2 linked regions of the Mytilus edulis genome follow. The protein of the gene in region 1 binds, or shares a complex with, the protein of each later gene. Links are inferred from orthologs where the notes say so. Each region holds a gene or a part of one and is shown on either strand. Other genes may lie near its edges. The genes, in order: mediator of RNA polymerase II transcription subunit 20-like and mediator of RNA polymerase II transcription subunit 18-like.

What was found.
Region 2: mediator of RNA polymerase II transcription subunit 20-like (region 1) and mediator of RNA polymerase II transcription subunit 18-like share a complex: the UniProt entries of both Drosophila melanogaster proteins name them as parts of the mediator complex. The link is inferred for Mytilus edulis from reciprocal best matches to the Drosophila melanogaster genes MED20 and MED18.

Annotation. Positions count from the first base shown.
Region 1 is NC_092344.1:16,047,795-16,058,154, reverse strand, and holds the start of mediator of RNA polymerase II transcription subunit 20-like, read left to right. Parts: upstream 1-7,360; 5' UTR 7,361-7,375; coding exon 7,376-7,410; intron 7,411-9,982; coding exon 9,983-10,125; intron 10,126-10,360. Other genes in the region: small nuclear ribonucleoprotein F, read right to left, coding at 2,219-2,285, 3,175-3,239, 4,023-4,148, 6,109-6,114. UniProt on the Drosophila melanogaster protein: Component of the Mediator complex, a coactivator involved in the regulated transcription of nearly all RNA polymerase II-dependent genes.
Region 2 is NC_092350.1:56,518,503-56,529,131, reverse strand, and holds the start of mediator of RNA polymerase II transcription subunit 18-like, read right to left. Parts: upstream 4,852-10,629; 5' UTR 4,749-4,851; intron 4,036-4,748; exon of another isoform or gene 3,832-4,035; intron 3,552-3,831; exon of another isoform or gene 3,396-3,551; 5' UTR 3,374-3,395; coding exon 3,196-3,373; intron 2,208-3,195; coding exon 2,141-2,207; intron 949-2,140; coding exon 826-948; intron 1-825. Other genes in the region: E3 ubiquitin-protein ligase TRIM71-like, read left to right, coding at 9,940-10,629. UniProt on the Drosophila melanogaster protein: Component of the Mediator complex, a coactivator involved in the regulated transcription of nearly all RNA polymerase II-dependent genes.

The sequences.
Region 1 (10,360 bases):
GTCAGATTTGCTCTAAATGCTTCCATTTTTGAGATATAAGCCAAAAACTGCATTTGACCCCTATGTTCTATTTTAAGTAACGGCGGCCATGTTTTTTGACGGATCAAAAATCGAAGCACACACTTTGTGCAGGATAATCTAAGGAACAATCATTTTAAGTTTCATTCAAATCCATTCAGTAGTTTCAGAGGAGAAGATGTTTGAAAAATTGTTAACGACGACAGATGACGACGACGGACGCCAAGTGATGAGAAAAGCTCACTTGGCCTTTTAGGCCAGGTGAGCTAAAAAGAAAATGTGATATGATTGCCAATGAAACAACTCTTCACATGAGACCAAAATGACACATAAATTAACAACTATAGGCCACCGTACGACCTTCAACAATGAGCAAAGCCCATACCGCAAAGTCAGCTATAAAAGGCTGAAATGAAATGAAATAACAATGTAAATCAATTTAAATGAGAAAACTACTGGCCTTATTTATTTACAAAAATGAACGAAATGGTATGGTTCATCAGACCAAAGACATATAATATTATGTATTGTATATTAAATAATTTGATCAGACTACGACTTCATTTTCATAGAATGCTGATAATTTTTAAGTTGATGTGATATTTGTAGTAAAATCTTCAAATTTCAGACTGACCATGAAACCAATAATCAGTAAAACAGACAAGAGACACTTCAGCATGTGAATTCTTATATTTTTTTTGTACCTTGACCTCATTTTCACGGTTTATTGGTCTGAAATTTTGTATTTTGGTTTTCCACTATAAGTAATAGGTCAACTATATTTGGTGTGGAATTGTCAAGTTTCTGTAGTAAAAAATCCTTTTGTAAGATACCACAATTAGTAGGTCAACTTTATTTGGAATGGTTGTAAGATGAACATGTCTGCCGTACAGGGTTTATCTGACTTTCACCTTAAATTATTGTTTTAAATATTAATTTTCCAAATGAAATCTGTTTCTCAGATACTATAAACAATTAGGTCCACTATATATTTGATGTACGGAATGATTGTTACTGTTAGTTGTACATGTCTGTCTGACAGTCTTCACCTGACCATGACCTCATGTTCATTGTTCATTTTTTTGGTCTGTTTCTTGTATACTTTAAGCAAGAGGTCAATCATAATTGGTGTATTCATTGTAAGTTTATTCTCATCCTAAAAATACACGAAATATTTGCCTCAGTTAAGCAAACAATAGTCAATCATAAAAACTTAGCCCTGTACAAATCTTAAGAACTTTTAACATTGTACCAATAATGATTGTCGTCACTGCCAGTTTATCTCTGGTTAAAAAAATTAATTTGAGCATACAGGAATCCCATCTTTGAGAAAATGTATGAAGGCAATCCTTTAACTTTGGTATCACCAGTCTTGAGAAATGAATAGTCTTATCCTATCTTTAAATCTTAACATTTTACCATTACATCAAAACTGTAAATTACGAGGAACTGGAAGAGTGATTGTCTGAAAACATGGACAAATAAAAGACTTGATAACAGAAACAGGGGTTGTGTAAAAGAGACAACAACTCAACCAAAGAGCAAAGATCAGCTGGCCCGAACAATAATGTATACTTAGTTCAGCAAATTGGACAACACACTTAACTCAAAACATAACCCATTTTGCACGCAGGAAAGACAAAGTAATGGAAAGGATATCAGATAGAGATGTCTTGGCTCTGGTTATAAATTAGGAAATACCTGCTTTTGTATACTTTTATCCTTCAAACAAGGCAAAACTTTATAAACTGCTATAAGGAAATATAAACTGGAAAAAGTGAGTAAACAAAAGTTAACATACAATTTTTAAAAATCATTTGATTAGAGCTACATATTCCTGGGCCTATAGAAAACTCTAATATACCACAACAAATTACTTTATTTGTTGTTAAAACAATATATGTACAACATAATAAAATCTTATAACCATGTATCATATGCGATGTTAATTGTTTTATGTTTGTTCCAAGTCTTGTCTGCCTTAGAGTAAATGAGATGATACAAAAAAGTATGAAGATGGCTTAGTTCCTGCTCAATAACCTTTGCATCCATGATTCACTTCACAATTTATAGAATACATACATTAACATGATATTCAAATGGAAATGATTAAAATGTTCAAAATTTATAAAAAGATGTGTCCATCAAAAGATGAGATGATAACAATAATGAATGAATGAGAGATGGTAAAATGGAGATCTTAGTCCTTCATTTCTCCTTCTTCATCTTCTTCTTCCACTCCTCTGATGTACAAAACATTGTTACATCTGAAACAGAAAAGTAACAGACATTATTTATCTAATATGTATAGTCATTCTAATAATTATGATTCAAACTTTCTTTTTGCTACACTTTGAATCTTTGTTATTTTTGTTTTTAATCTTGTTAAATTATTTTATCATACATGGCTGACATTTCATATTTGCCATCGTTTTCCCTTTGGATGAAACTAATTCATGAATTTTCTTTTTTTACATTTTTTGCCGGTAAGAAATTGATGTGTATCACACTTTCAAATATTTTATAATAATAATAATAAACATCTGGAAATTTATTGTTATAAATGAAAGGTGAACAAAGGAACAAAATTCCATTGAATTGTGCATAGTTTATTTGTCCATGGGCAATATTTTGAATAACAAAAAATATCTTTATAGAAAAAAGGTGGCCTTGAACAGCACTTCCAAGGCAATTTCAATATAATTCATATTTTCAAGGGGCATAACTTTTTTTAACATAAAAGGGGAATGTGAGTTAGTACACGAATGCCCCTTAAGTTTTGCAATTTTCAAAAGTTTTCAGATATAAACCTTTGATATAAGAACGAAAAAATCTGGGAAGAATTGTATATGTGAGAATGCTTTCAAGACTAGACAGATAGACATCTGGTATTTCTATGCTACTGCAAAAAGTGTTGTGTGCAGGGGACATAAAGTTAATAAAGATTAAGTATTCTTAGAAAATACATGAAACAAAGCTTAATACTTTTTTTAAATTACAAATTGACATATAGACTATCTTCAGTGTGCATTTAATTAAAACAATACTTGCACAACATTTCTTCCAAAACTGAAAGCTCAAAAAATTAATCTATTTGAAATATTTGCAGTAAAGTGAAAGGAAATTATACATTATTCTTTATAATTAATTAAATACCTGATTAGAACCTCTCCAAGATTGCCTGTCTGAATACCATCAATGAATTCTTCTGTGTTAGCAAGCTAGAAACATAAAATACACAAAGCTTTAGTAAAACTTATCACTTCACATTTCCTTGAAGCTAGATCTACTTATTTTTATCTACATGTACATGTATGAGATATTATAATTCACATCTTGAAAATATCATTACATGTAACTTTTATCAACAAGTTTATCAATAATTCCAAAAAAATGAAACATGAATACTATATAATATATAATAATATCTGATTTAGCATGTTTAAAGGGCACAGCCATTTTTTTTATTTTGTTGGTACGATTTTCATAAAAAAATCAAAGTTAAAACTTTCCACTTTTTATTACATGTATTATTGCCTGACTATTCTTAATTCATTTCACCTAAAATATAAATGACTATACATGTATCTGTGTAGAAGCATTTACCTCAAATATTAAGAATGTGCATTATTTATCATGTTTCAACATAAACAGACAGAAATGATCACACAAAAACTTTAGTCCTGCTTGTCTGTGTTTTAAGAAAAAATCTGTTGTGATTTCAAAAGAAAATTCATAAATAAAAGACAATCAAAATGGATCTTGAAATTTATTTGCACAACAAAAACCAAAGTAAACTAAACCACTCTTTATAGAGAGTGAATTTCCCTTTATTGTCATAATCATGAAATATATTATACTTAACCATTTTGGAATACAGTCACAATGTTTAAAAATAAAATATTTCATGATTATGACAATTTTTTTTCAAGGAGACAAAACTTAAAAGTACTGCAAGGCAAGTCTTCTACATAATGTTTATTGGTGTCTATAAATCAACTGACCTGTAAGTTCATGTAACCATCTACAGATACCAAGTAGCCTTTATATTCCATTCCCCATTTTAGCTTGACCATCACTGGTTTTCCTGTTAGTCCATTTAAAAATGGTTTCGGGTTCATAGGTAAAGCCTAAAAGTAAACAAAATAAAAAGTTAACAAATACACAAAATAGTGTTTATTATATCATACTAAATAAGTCATATAAACAAGTTTGTAGACAGTACATGTTTATAACATTACATGTATGTTCCATAACTTTTTCATCTCTTAACAATAAAAAGTATAATGTAATAAAAAAAAACAGTCAGCTAATTATTATCTTGCATGTACATGTACACAATGTAGGTCCTACATCAACTGACATTTCAAAGCCTTCTTTTGTCTAGATTTATAAAATTGGGTTTAGAACTGAAACTTTTATCTTCCACTGGAAATTCAAAATAGCATAGTTGAACTTTCTGTTTTAGGCTGTTAAGTACATTTATTGACAATTTCTGCAGGCAATTTGTGGTTAAACAAAATGCTCATTTTATAGACAGCTTTTGAATTCATTACATTTCCAGCAATAACTTCCGTTTTAGTAAACATTGTTCGAATGTTTATGGGCATCTTCACTTCCGTTACTATGTTGTGCAAGTGATATGATGCTACAATGTATATTGCACAAATTATTTGGCAAATCAAATTCTTATAATTGCTCAGTGAACAGAATTGCCCAAAATTGTCAAACAGGCTTATTTATAATACACAGTGTTCTAGCCAGGATTTGAAAAGGGTATGGTGCTACATGTAGTTCAAAAAGGGGCAATTTTACGTGTAACTGCCATTGAAAAAAGGGCAATTTTACATGTTAATTAATGTCACTGAAAAAAAGGCAATTATTTAAGCCTCATAATTAATTAGCACATAACTTTTACTATGCATTCTTGTAAATTCAAGTTTCAGTTAAAATGGAGTAATATATTTCAAATTCAATACTTTTGGCAAATTTTTCATGGTTGACTTCATAAATCTATGGTCATGATGCTGAGACCCTTTCAGGAAGCTGTTTCTTTCATATAACATGTATGTAGTTGCTGTTATATTACCAGTCTCACCAATGTATTAACAGATTTTGTGATTTTTTTATACTAGATTGCACTTGATAGATCAGTTAATGGAAGTAAAGATATAATTTTCAAAATATTTAATTTTGAAGTGTATTCAAGTGAAAATAACTTAAAGAAATATTCTAATATGCATTTGCATTAAATTAATTTTTAATCCTTTTACAAAAAGAAACATAAATTTAAAGAATATAGTGTGAACAGGTGGAAAATAAGGGGAAGTAACTTATTTTGTTGATATACACAAATTATGTTGCATGACCTAAAGCTAAGATTATTTGTGTTAATTGACAATTATGTGTTTGACACCAAAGCTGTCAGAAGAAGCCATGCACTTAATGGGTTACTTAATTTGACAGTTTGCACAGGTAGCTGAACTTCTTGTTCATGGAAGATTTACAAATCAGCAGGTCGTCTGAGGGACAGCAGAAAAAAGGCACGGGCGTTGTGCCCTGTTCAAACTTTGTAGCTAGACCACTGATACACCATATCGCTATTTGTCCACCATTACTGGATATCACACAGGTTCCCATAAAATTTTGACGTCATAAACGAAATATCTGACGCCACAATGGATAAGTGATTGTGTACGATGTCAAAAGTTCAAGCCGTCGGGTCAGCCGGGATAATTTAGCGATAAGGTGTATAAACAGATAAACAGACATAGACTAATTCTTAGATTGACATATATTGGAAGATGGACCCATCACTGATAGTATCAGTATTTAGCTCTGCGTCATAAACTATTTTTTGTAGGTTTAAGTGATAAATTTAAATGAAATGCAAGATAATGGTGTAATGCATGTGTTATAGTAGTCTCAAAATGCATACACAAATAAAATGCGCTTTGTTATGACCTCCCCCTTTTTATATGACATCCTGGATTCCCTTTATTTAAAGCGGAATTTCATAGATTGGTCATTTTACAGAAAAGTAGGGTTAATCTAAGAACTGTGCATCGAAGATGATCAGTATATACGTACGGCCATCGTGTGTTTTCTTGTGTGATTCGATTAATAACAACAGCGTGGTCTATTCGTTTCGCCGCCGGTGGTTAATAAATAATAAGAAATTATTAACCCACAAAAAAACGAAACATTTTAATCAAAATTATTCTAAATTTTACACAATACATCAATTTTAGTGAAATTACATCAAAAGAAGCGATTTTAGTTAAATTAACTAGAATTTTATGAATTTAGTTACACATTAATATATGGTAAACTAAAATTCGTTTTGTTTGAAAACAATGAATAAATAAAATATTAAGTTATGTCCCTTGTTGTACAAAAATAATGAAATGGGAGTTGTGTGGTAATTGTTTGAAATAGGTTCAATGCATGAGCTTAAATGCACCTAACTCATTTTAAGAAATCGCAATCTGTATAGGTTAAAAAAAGTTCAAAGTCATTTCATATTGTAGAAGACTAAAAATAACTAGATTTCACTGTGCACTTTTTTTGGTCCTTGCTAAAGATAATGAAATTAACAAACTGTTGAGTTTCAGTTGATATGGTCCACTCAGTGACACAGTTTAAATCTACAATTATTGTCAGGTATCTATTGTCTCTCTGTTGTCCTTGTCAATGTACAGTCCTCTTCAAATCCAGGTTTTTGAAGAGCTAATACTGGTACTGAAAAAAATTTGATGTATGCCTTTTTGTGCTTCTTCGTTACATTTGTTGTTTTTAGTGATTAGGATGATAACACAATGTTGACTGCTGTACCCCTATTTTTTGACATTTTTACCTATTGTGTCTGTTTGTTTTGTTCATGCATCGGTGACAATATAATGGAATTTGATGCAACTGTCATACAAGTGAGAGGTTTAGCTAGCTATAAAACCAGGTTCAATCCACCATTTTCTACATTTGAAAATGCCTGTACCAAGTCAGGAATATGACAGTTCTTGTCCATTTGTTTATGATGCGTTTTGTTATTTGATTTTGCCATGTGCATGATGTGATTATGGACTTTCCGAATTGATTTTCCTCTGAGTTCAGTATTTTTTTTCCCATGAAATAAAATTTACTATTTAAAAAAATGTAGAATTATAGAAAATTGATGAAAATATGTATAAAACTTTTGCTTACTTTTTAAATTATAAAAAATATTGTATCTAATGGGATGCAGGTCGTTTTCTAACTGAGACGTTTGTAACCTTATAATTACAATATATTTATAATAGTGCGAGTCATAAGTAAATGGCCAGTGGAGCATATGAGTACTGACTTTAACAAGCTAAAGGACATGGCTCCAGTTGGTCGTCTACGAGTAGTTCTACGGTATGTTCAAAAACATTGAACAGTCGACAGTGGCCAAATGCAAGTTGGTGTGTGTTTATGCAATCCATCCCACCATTATTAACGACGTAGAGTGATGGCACAACAACCTTAACACCAAAGCTGTCATCGACAACCATTCATTCTATCTTTGACAAAAAAAAGGAGAAAATAATTATTTTTTTCAGCTTGTGTGCCATTTTTAATACTCTACTATTCACTTTATACCTCATTTTGTACCTACTGTTATTACTTTTTATTACCTGCCATTAGTTGTCCTTAAACCATTAAAGTTGTCACCGAGCATAATTACTAATTAGTTTTAATTGAAAATATTGTTATTATCAGGCCACACCAATTTGATTAATAGTTCTTTGGATTTTCCTGCTCCTGTTTTGGAGAAATTGACTTTTCAATGAAAAAAATAATTATCTCTTCTGCAAATTTTTGGGCCGCATGCCGCTCCAAAATTAGTTTATCATTGACATTTTTTTGTTTATCCTTGACATTTTTTTTTCTCATAGATGTTTTTCTTGTGCACATCCATCGATTCAAATGCACGTGTGATAAATAGATTTGTTAATAAAAGGTCAAAAATTAGGATGCCAACATGAAGTTGTGTCAGTTTATTGCAAAGGACAAGTACCATGAGTACAGAGATAATTTTAATGTGCGTATTGTTATGCGTTTACTTTACTACATTGGTTAGAGGTATAGGGGGAGGGTTGAGATCTCACAAACATGTTTAACCCCGCCGCATTTTTGCGCCTGTCCCAAGTCAGGAGCCTCTGGCCTTTGTTAGTCTTGTATTATTTTAATTTTAGTTTCTTGTGTACAATTTGGAAATTAGTATGGCGTTCATTATCACTGGACTAGTATATATTTGTTTAGGGGCCAGCTGAAGGACGCCTCCGGGTGCGGGAATTTCTCGCTACATTGAGGACCTGTTGGTGACCCTCTGCTGTTGTTTTTTATTTGGGCGGGTTGTTGTCTCTTTGACACATTCCCCATTTCCATTCTCAATTTTATAGAGTACCAGTAGTTATGGTATTAAACACACAGTTATTTGAAATGCATTTCGTTTTATTTATGAAGACCTGTTCTAGGAGATAAAATAAAAAATCTTTCGTTAGATGACCACGATCACATTTGTACTCGTTAGATCCATTGTCATCCCCAATCATTGTTTCAGCTGTTCAACAGACATAGTACGAGATCACTCTAACGTCCATCACACATACATCTAATTATATGCATAAGACATGGATCATGTTTTTCCTTTTTTTTCTTTGAAGTAACCCAGTTTGAACATGAAGATAAAGTTTTAAATTGCACAATTTAAAAAAACACATTTTACCGCTCACTCCACTTGTAGAGCACCTGCCTCATCAAAACTCAATTTCTTGAAATATATACAATCAAAAAAATTTCTCTTGCTTGCCCAATATTTTTTGGAGCTTTTGTCCTAAGAAGTACAAATCAAATTGGTGTGGCCTCAAATGAACATTTTGATCATTTTAAGAAAATAATTGTTTAAATTAAACTATTAAATTGATTTAAACTAACAATTTATAACCATATATAATTACACCAGGTACGAAACGCCTCAGTTACAAATCAACGTAGTTACGAATCAACCAGGTATAAAACGACCAGGTTACGAAAAAATTAGCATTCCTAAAAGTGGAAAGGGATTAATATTAGTTACAAAACTTGTTTTCCAATCCACTATAAATAGATATGTTTAAACGAATTAGCATTCCTGTAATTATGTTTTCATGATGTCACAATTCCTCACATTAATGGTGAAAATCAAAATCTCAAAGATATCTTTCTATTTTTCTGTTTCATATATATTTTGGTCAAAGGGTATGGCCAGTGTTTAAAATGCAGTTTAACAGCAAATTTGAAGGAAAAGGAGAGAATATAACCTTTGTTTGTTTGTATGTCCATACATCCCAAAATTGGTTTCTGTTATCTGAATTTAGTTTTCATCAACCAAATGTTATGAAACTTGTATACACTATACACAATGGTTATTACAACAAAACACAGAGCAATTTTAAATTTTGGTGGTGTTACCTTTACTGTTCAAGAGTTATGCCCCCTTACCATTGAAAATATTGCTGAATTTGTCTTTCTCTAACTTAAGTTTTCCTTTACCAAATGTTATGAAACTTATACACAATGTTTATTACCACAAAACTCAGATCAAGTACAGGTTTGGGTGACTTGAGATCACTTCTTTACTGTTCTTGAGTTATGTCCCTTTATCATGTTTATAATGTCACAAGTAAGTGAAGGCATAATCTGTGTCCCTTGGATACGTTCCCAATTTTTTTATTTTTTTAAAGCATTCTAAACTTTTGAAAATATCTAGTTTATGTGTTATTTTTTTTTAATTTTGCACATTTAAGATTGCAAGTATTGGTAATTAGGTTACAATATATGTATATATGCTATTGTTTGAAATTAAGGGCCAAATTTTGGCTGTCTCTGTCCTATATTTTTCAGTTTCCTTTGATATCCCTTTTTGATAATCATATTCAACTTTGTTCTAATTTTGTCTTTGTAGTATTTTTAGCTATGCTGTGCCTGAGGGTAAGAGTGGACAACAAGCAGTTGATATGTTACAGAAAAATGTAGAATTACTAGGAGCTACAAGATCTGGAAACTTTTGTGTTGATTGTGAAACTTACCAGTCAAATTCACAGAATAGTAAGTTATACATTGTACAAAAAAAGTAATTGTTCCTTGAATCATTATTTATGTAAGGGGATCTTATTATAACATGGTTGACATATCTATCAAAGAAGACCACAGAATTTGTTTTTTTTTTGTTGTTGCAACAACTCTCCCATCCTTTTCCTCATTTATTACTCATCTTCAAATATGACCAGATGGTTATTTTTTGTAAGCAACATTATGATGTGTACTACTTGTATTACTAGGC
Region 2 (10,629 bases), on another chromosome or scaffold:
ACTGAAAAAATAAAATATGAAAGCAACCTGAAGTTTCTGTGAAATGTGATTGGACTGATAAATCATACCATAGTATATACAGTATTTTCAAATAGCACAATAGAATTTAAAAAAAGAAGTGATTCTACAAACCTATAACACCACTTTTAAAAGTCCAGTACATTTTACTGTATTTCCAATTTAAGTCTTAATTCATTGAGGAGGATTGTGGCAACCAAATATGGGTAGTTACATGTATAAGCTTATTTCGCAATGCCAGAAATAAGTTTCTATACAGGCAAAATAGTTGTGTTGATTTTCTTGTCTGAAAACAACTTCGAGAGCATTATATTGGAATTAAAAGGTTACTTTTACCAGTGCAAAAAATTTTTTGACACAGCCTTTCACTCAGACTCATCGTTTCTAACTTCTATACATTCTATACATTGTGACTAGGATTGAGAGTTGTCTGATTGGCACTCATACCACATCTTCTTATTCATATCAAAATAAATTGGACTGGGTTGATCTTGTGAGTGATTTGACTGATCACACATATCAATAATAAACTCTGTAAAAAGTAACCTTTATTAATTTACTATAATAAATCTTTTCAAAAGCTAGGACCCAATGATTAGCTATACTAGTTAGTATAAAAAAGAAAATGTGGTATGACTGCCAATGAGACAACTCTTCAAAAGAGACCAAATGACGCGGCAATTCACATTTAAAATGTAAAGGTCACCATATAGCCTTCAATAATGGTCAAAGCCTATACTGCATAGTCAGCTATTAAAGGCCCTGAAAAGACAAATGTAAAACAATTCAAACAGAATTATTACAAACCTGAAACCAACTTCATGAAGAAACTGTAAAACATTATCTGAGGTAGCTACATCAACACAGTTCCTTATTAGTGTGTGTCGACTTTTATCTCCCATCTCAGAATGACCAAGGTATCGTAGCTGCCTGAAAATATAAGATAATAAATTTTACTAAGTGAACATTTGCAGTGCCAATTTTACTGCATCAAATACACATTTCAACAATTTATATTACTTTATTAGTGCTTGAGTTTGGATTTTTTTTAAATCCCAACCCTAATACAAACTTGGGAGTTTATATAAAAAAAAAGGCAAACAAAAAAATAGCCAAATATCTTTAAGGATTAGGTATAGAAGCAAGAAGGATATATTCTGATATATTCCTATATTCAAAATTATTTCATTATTTCATATGAGCAAATTTCAACAAAACAATAACTAAAATTTAATTCCAGTTCTGAATATGCTGAATCAACAAAAAACAAACTATAAAGGTAAAAAAATCTAAAAAATACTGTCATGATTTTACAAAATGTAAGTTTTTATTACATTTCAATTTGGTCAAAACTTGAAATAACTGCAACTATTCATTTATTTTCATAAAATGATCAAAAAAGAATAAAAATTTCAGTATACATGTCTTCTTCTTTTTCTTCCAAGTTATAAAGGAACCAGATTCAATAACTGAATGTAAACGGTCCTGCAAAACCTTTGCGCATGTACATGATGTACATACATTTGTTAGGTATAAGAAAATTTTCATTACTTTTTTTTCCTTTTGTGACTTTTATCATGTTTATTGGTGAAAATAGTTGAAATTACGTGTACATGCATATGTGACTTATGAATTCTTTTCAAATTGTAAACTATTTTTGAGCAGATCTATAGCAACTGCTCCTACAAATGAATTCATAATATTTGCAATATTTTTCAGTACCTTTCTAAATTACATCAATTCAATTTCTCAATAAAATTGAGAATAAAAATGGGGAATGCATCAAAGCGACAACAAACCGATCATAAAGAAGACAACAGCCAAAGGCCACCAAAGGGTCTTCAATATAGAGTGAAACTCCCGCATCCAGAGGCGTCCTTCAGCTTGCCCCTAAACAAATATGTATACAAGTTCAGTGATAATGGAAGTCATACTAAACTCCAAACTATACACAAGAAACTAAAATTAAAATTCATATAAGACTAACAAAGGCTCCTGACTCAGGACAAGCACAAAATTGCAGCTGGGTTAAACTTGTTTTTTGAAATCTCAACCTCCCCCTATACCTCATGTAGAAAAAACATACCGCCAACAACACAATGAGTACTGGACAGGGACTTACCAGTTTTCTGGTTGAACCAGGGAATGTCTGACACTATATTGTAATGGCTGAGGAATGCTGGCATTCTCTGATTTGAAATATAATAAAAAGAAAAGATTAAAGCAAAACAAGACTTGATGATTACAGTTAAAAGATATAAGAAGATGGGGTATAAGTGCCAATGAGACAACTCTCCATTCAAGTCACAGCATTAATTTTTACCAATTTCAGAGTATAGTATTAGGTTTACAAAACACACAGATGGGCTTATCTAAAAATTTACTTTATCTGTTTTTCATTCTTTTCTTTGTTCATTAATTAGGCTGTTCATGCTGTTAGTTTTCTTGTTTGAATTTTTTTTACGTTTGTAATTTTGAGGCCTTCAATAGCTGACTATTGGGTATGGGCTTTGCTCAGTGTTAAGGGCAGTACAACAACCTAAATGGTTAATTTCTTTGTCATTTAGTCTCTTGTGGAGAGATGTCTCATTGTCAATAAAACCACATCTTCTTTTTTATATTATATTAAAATGTTTAAAAAAAATAAATCAAGCATAATTTCTTCTTTTTATGTTATTATAAACATGCATATTGCTCAAGTGTATCAAATAGATAACTATTACTTCCTCATTAAGTACTGTTATTAGTAAAACTATACTTAGTTTAACTAATATTCAATTAAGAATGACATGTTTTTTTTGTAAATTTATATGGATGTAAAAGTGTTGGCCGGGGTACATTTTCTTTGAGCCACAGAAGCACTTCATTCTAAAAATGTGCACAGTCAACACTTCAACAACCCTATAAACTTATTTAAAGAAGCATTCAATATTAATAATTAAATTCTTTTGCTAGAAAATTCTAGAATCATGAAAACAAGACTTTCTTTTATTTATATGTGCATGTTATTGTGAAAGCTCCTGTCTTCATAAATGTTACATTTTTGATTTTCATTTTAAAATTCAGGTTAATTTCAGAATGACTCCAGATTGCTGTTAGCCAGTTAAAGTAACATATATTGAAACATACATGTAATGTAATTATTCAACATTTACCGTCATTTTACTGAATACTTACTGATGGCATACACCATTTCATGATCTACAAATTTTTCTTCAGGAGAATCAGCATGATCACAAAGACCTTTCAGTCTACACAATAAGACTTCTAACGAACTGTCTAAAATGCTTCCTTGTAGAAGGTATTCATTGGTTGGTGCTGCCTTTAATGCTTGTGCTAATTGTGGATCCATCATATTTATCAACAATTATTCATTTCTGGAGAAAAAAAAACTAATTTAACTTTTAACATTCAGAAATAGAAACAGCTGCACAAAGAGTATATGTACTAATGAACTCAAAATCGTTCAATTTTTTTATGTTATGTTTTGAATTCCCGCATCTGTGCAGAAATATACAATGTACTTCCTTTTTCTGGTCTCATTTGTATGAAACTTTGAGTAAAATATATATTTATCAGTCTAGTATAAAATAGGAAGGAACGCAATACCAATTTCATTTTTGATAATTCCTTGATATGAAAAAAACATTACCTGATGATAGCGTTTCTTTGTTTACATTGCATATGACGTCATAACTTAAATAACGTCACAACTAAAATACCTAACAACAGAACCAAAATCGGAAACGTTACGGTATTTCCGTTTCTTTTTTTTAACAAATATATTTAAGGTTCAAAAAAAATAATTCATACAGACTTCGTCCCCATTTACAGGTAATGCCTGCCTCATATTACATGTAAATAGAAACAGCTGCACAAAGAGTACATGTATGATATTCCTGTCTTGTGTATATCAGTCTGACCCGTTACCCACTATAGTCCAATTCCCTAGTCCAAATAATAAGACGTCTGGCAAGGCTTCTTCATTTTTTTTCTGGGACGCCTTTCTCAGACTAGTAAGCTTTCACAAAAATTTGATGAGACCAATTAGAAAAATGTCAGAATATTTGTCCCCTTTCAACATGTTCAAGATAAAGCCTGCCTCATATGATTTATCATTCAATTTTAGAGCACAGGTACTTCACTTGGTGCATGGTTCCTCCATTTTCATACCTGCCAACTGTCACTATTGGTGGGGGATTTCCCCCATGGAAGCTCCAAAATGTAAATTTTGAAATAGCAATTTTGTCCAAAATTTTAAACAAAACAATGAATTTTACAATGGCTATTGGCGTGTAAAAGTATGCAGAAGCCAAAAACCAACATTAAAATGAATTTGAAGGCCCCCTTGAAGGTTTTGTAGGACTACATATATTGCGATATAGGAGCCATCTTCATCAATGTTCATGATCTTGCATGCAAAACCCCCATGGTCATTTTGAAAAGTTGGCAGGTATGCATTTTCTTATCTCTTTTTTCTTGTTGTAAATGTCTTTTCATTTTTTCTTATTTATTTTCTTTTATTCAATGTCTTCTTACTCTTATCCATACATGTCATATTTACAACAATGGTTTTTATATAGGCTATTATACATGTAGATCATTATAGATGTCATATATAATTTTGCCCTTTTATTCTTATTTCCCTACTGTTATTGCTTTGAGTGACATTGTGCTCTATCATTTATATCAGGATTAAACCTCTTGTGATATTGAAGTATTAAAGTTACCCTTAAAATGTTCGATTACAAGCAATTGTACCAAAATACATTGTTCAGTTTCTGAAAATAAAAACAAAACTGAAACCGGAAACTGTACTAACCATATAAAAACGAAATCGAGTTCGGTTTCAACGACAAACGGTTACGGAATCAAAGGTTATTGATAGGGGTGAGGAGTACGCCGGTTATTTTAATACTCGAATAGCTACTCTGAAATTGGGAGTAAATTCTGGACATTATTATTTTCTTTAATCAGTGTATATATATAAGAATAAGAATAAGATATATATATATGTTTTACCGAATTGTTTAATTTTGGAGCCTTGTTATCACCTCATATTATAGCACCCCATTATTTTTTATTCATTATTTTTGTTGTCCCACTAGCGGATTTAGGGGGGTTTGGGTTTCTACCCCCCCCCCCCCCCCCTCCCCCGTGCTTAGAAATCTTAAAAGATCTTCGCAAGGATTTCTAGTCTCACGAAATCATACAAATATTGACGCCAGTATTGTTAACCTTTTGCATAAAGGAAATAAATTAATATTATATACTGAAATATATATAGCAAAGAACTATAGCGACTGGAATTTAGAAAGTCGAAGAATAATTATGTTTATATCTAAAACGTCACTATCAATTAACTATCGTACTCGTAAATGCATACACAGAATTTTAAAATTCCCGCTTTTTATCCGTTTATAAACGATCACATGAATACTAATCTTTCTAGCTGATAAACCACACGAGAACGAATATGTCAAATTAAAAAGGTAATTTTTAGATTTCATTCGATATTTGCTATATTAATTCTTTTTTCATCTTTAATTCTGCCGTTTTGTTTATTTCCCTATATATATATATAATATTGCTATAACATACATTAGACTAAAGTGAAATTTGTCAAAGTATATATATATATTACGGATTACAAATGTGTCGAGGTTTCTGATTGGATAACAACTCAGAGATGTCAGTATATATTCAGGAAACTGCCGGGGTATATACTACGTTTCTATCCCCAATTGGAACTTCAAAAACGTCATCATAACACCGGTTACTATGTGACGTAGTCATAAGCTATCAGACTGTCAGAGGTTCACAGAGGGAAAATAATGACGTGCTTCAGTCAATAATACATTTTTGATACAAAATCACGCAATTAACACTTTTAATACTTTAATTTGATGTTAAAAGTGTTATTATAAATTATTACATACACGATAAAATTATGTTCACAGAAAATTAAAAAATCCTTCACGTATGCCGAACATATAAGGTTGGGTTTTTCAATATATATGTGTTGTCAACAAATACCTGCACTGGAAAATAACATTAAGTCAGGGGTAATCCGTAATATATGTGTAATTCAGGTCTCAGAAAGGGTATATACTGTGACATTCCCGGCTTAGGGCTTATATCCCCTTCGCCTTCGGCTCAGGGGATATAAACTCTAAGCCGGGAATGTCACAGTATATACCCTGTCTGAGACCTGAATAACATATAATATTACGGATTACAAATGTGTCGAGGTTTCTGATTGGATAACAACTCAGAGATGTCAGTATATATTCAGGAAACTGCCGGGGTATATACTACGTTTCTATCCCCAATTGGAACCTCAAAAACGTCATCATAACACCGGTTACTATGTGACGTAGTCATAAGCTATCAGACTGTCAGAGGTTCACAGAGGGAAAATAATGACGTGCTTCAGTCAATAATACATTTTTGATACAAAATCACGCAATTAACACTTTTAATACTTTAATTTGATGTTAAAAGTGTTATTATAAATTATTACATACACGATAAAATTATGTTCACAGAAAATTAAAAAATCCTTCACGTATGCCGAACATATAAGGTTGGGTTTTTCAATATATATGTGTTGTCAACAAATACCTGCACTGGAAAATAACATTAAGTCAGGGGTAATCCGTAATATATGTGTAATTCAGGTCTCAGAAAGGGTATATACTGTGACATTCCCGGCTTAGGGCTTATATCCCCTTCGCCTTCGGCTCAGGGGATATAAACTCTAAGCCGGGAATGTCACAGTATATACCCTGTCTGAGACCTGAATAACATATAATATTTCTACTTTCGTTCTGCTGCAAGGTATTTGTCCTTTTTTTTTTTTATCAGCAACCCTTAAAATGTGGTCATCTATTGGTCTCTTAGGACAGACAGTAAACACTTTTTCACTGGATATATATGATGTTGTTCTCGTCTTGAACATGCATGGAACATTTGCCACTGGACGTTAAGCAACCAACAATCAATCAATCAATCTGGATATATACACGGACATACATGTTTCATCGATATCGGTAGTGCAAATATTTGGATATATCATATATCCTTTTTCCCCGTTTAATTCACATACGCATCAGTTGAAGTTCAACTACTGCATGCATTAGCGCATGAGTATCATTTCATGAAGATATAAAATAAGGAAAATACAGATACATGCCCAAACAAATGCTTTGTATGCCTCACTTAGATGTATTATGTTGTGCATCCGTCCGTGCGTTCCTTCGATCGTCTGTCCCGCTTCAGGTAAAAGTTTTTATGCCCCATTTATGGGCATTATGTTTTCTGTTCTGTGCGTCCGTCCGTCTGTTCGTTGGACTGTCTGCCCCGATTCAGGTTAAAGTTTTCAGGTTAAAGTTTTTGGTCGAGGTAGTTTTTGATGAAGTTGAAGTCCAATCAACTTGAAACTTAGTACACATGTTCCCTATGATATGGTCTTTCTAATTTTAATGCCAACGTAGAGATTTTCTCTCATTTATATGGTCCACTGAACATAGAAAATGATAGTGCGGATGGGGCATCCGTGTACTGGGGGTCGACACATTCTTGTTGGTTAAAGTTTTTGGTCAAGGTAGTTTTTGATGAAGTTGAACTCCAAATTAGAGTTTTGACCCAAATATAAGGTCTAATGAACATTAAAAATGGTGGTGCGAGTGATGCACCCGTAGACTATGAATAAAACCTTTTTTTGCTATATATTCATATGTTGGTATTTCTATAAGAAGAACACGACAACACTGCACACTGAAGCAGGGCTCTGTCATCACATGCAATGTGCTACAATGAAAGCATATGTATAGCCATACTAGTTATGTAATCGTTTATTAACCTTTATGAGAGGCCCAGATAGTTTAACAATATTACAAGTAGTATCATGCCAGGCTATATTTTATAGGTCCTTTTTGGTCATATAGCCCTTCAACTGTTAAGAATATCATTAGATCTTAGATTTCAAATATTCGGCTTTAAGTGTGAAGGAAAGTACCTCGGTCTCATGAAATTTATAACTTGTTTTCATTTTATATAGAAATTGAAGTAAGATTTGTTTTAATAAAATCTATTTCTGAACAATAAATTTTGTATTTGTATACAATTATAGCTTTCGGCTTACTCGGTTTTAACCTTCTTGTACCTCTGATTGTCCGGACGGGGTTAAGAGAATAGAAAATGAACTTAGGTGTCATGATGTAAATTTCTGTAATTTATTTCATAACTTTTCAATCATGACTGTTTTGTGTTGTTACAATCTTTCTAAAAAATAAGTAAAATAGAACTTAAAAAGTCAATGTCATTAAGCTTAATTAATACTTGTGAATAGACCAAATTTGTCAAATGTTTATTTAAAATTAGTGTAATTTTATATTCGAGCAATTCGATATTTGATCTAAAAAGAGACAATAAGAAAATATAGTCAGCAAGTCCGTTAGAATACGGATGACCCCGTATTGCTACATTTAAGGACTTTCAAGCGGACTGTGCCCTTTTTAGCTCACCTGGCCCGAAGGGCCAAGTGAGCTTTTCTCATCACTTTGCGTCCGTCGTCCGTCGTCGTCGTCATCCGTCGTCGTCGTCGTCGTCGTCGTCCGTCGTCGTCGTCGTCGTCCGGCGTTGTTAACTTTTACAAAAGTCTTCTCCTCTGAAACTACTGGGCTAAATTAAACCAAACTTGGTCACAATTATTATTGGGGTATCTAGTTTTAAAAATGTGTGACGTGATCCGGCCAACCAACCAAGATGGCCACCATGGCTAAAAATAGAACATAGGGGTAAAATGTAGATTTTGACTTATAACTCTGAAACCAAAGCATTTAGAGCAAATCTGACAAGGGGGTAAAATTGTTTATCAGGTCAAGATCTATCAGCCCTCAAATTTTCAGACGAATCGGACAACCGGTTGCTGCCCCTGAATTGGCAATTTTAAGGAAATTATAATGTTTTTTGGCTATTATCTTGGCTATTATTATAGATAGAGATAAACTGTAAACAGCAATAATGTTCAACAAAATAAGATCTACAAATAAGTTAATATGACTAAAATGGTCAGTTGACCCCTTAAGGAGTTGTTGCCCTTTATAGTCATTTTTTACCAATTTTTCGTAATTTTTTGTAATCTTTTACAAAAATCTTCTCCTCTAAAACTACTGGTCCAAATTTAACCATACTTGGCCATAATCATCATTGAGGTATCTTGTTTTAAAAAAATGTGTGCGGTTACCCTGCCAACCAACCAAGATGGCAGCCAGGGCTCAAAATAGAACATAGGGGTAACATGTAGATTTTGGCTTATAGCTCTGAAACCAAAGCATTAAGAGCAATTCAGACATGGGGGTTAAATTGTTTTGCAAGTCAAGATCTATCTGCCCTGAAATTTTCAGATGAATCAGACAATCGGTTGTTTGGTTGCTGCCCCTGAATTAGTAATTTTTAGGAAATTTTGCTGTTTTTGGTTATTATCTTGAATATTATTATAGATAGAGATAAACTATAAATAGCAATAATGTTTGGCAAAGTAAGATCCACAAATAAGTCAAGATGACCAACAAGGTCAGTTGACCCCTTAAGGAGTTATTGCCCTTTATAGTCCATTTTTAATCATTTTGTAAATTTTTGTAAATTTTAATAAAATATTTTCCTCTTTAACTAATGGGCCAAGTTCATTATAAATTGAGATAATTGTAAGAAGCAAGAATGTTCAGTAAAGTAAGATCTACAAACACATCACCATCACCAAAACACAATGTCATGAATCCATCTGTGTCCTTTGTTTAATATGCACATAGACCAAGGTGAGCGACACAGGCTTAAGATCCTCTAGTTATATTGTTTTAAACAACTACTGTTAATTGTTATTCTTTATTGATATTTATTTGCAGTTTTTTGTGTGAAATGGCGACATCCTCTCAAAACTGTGGTGTTTGTGACGCACGCCACATCAACAAACCATCTACAATCTGGTGCACAGAATGTGACGAGGGACTATGTACAGAATGCCAGGAACATCACAGTTTGTCCAAAGGAACAAGAAACCATAAAGTGATACCAATCATTGAATACAAGCAATTACCAGCTGATGTACTAAAGATTAGTCAAATCTGTAGCAAACACAATCAAAAGTTTCAAATCTATTGCCAGATGCATGAATGTCCTTGTTGCAGCAAGTGTATTGTAGAAAGCCATAAAGAATGCCATGACATCGTTAATTTAGATGACGTCATTCTTAATTCAAAAACATCGAATGACTTGTCCGAGATAGAGGAAACATTAGTTGAAATAGCAGAAAACATCAAAAAAATTCGTGAGAACCAACAGGATAATATTTCAGCTTTGAAAGAGAGGAGAAAGGAAATTGAAGAAGAAATCGAGAAGACAAGAAAAAAGATCAACAACCGTCTTGACAAATTACAAAAAGATTTAATAAAACAACTGAATGTGGACGAAGATAAAGAAAACTCGAAAATTCGTCGGTTAATATCAACATTGGAAAAGAAGGAAAAGGAAGTTGCCGATTGTCAGCGAAACATTGGAAACATCAAACAACACGGAACGCACCTTCAGATGTTTCTTTCAATGAAGCAT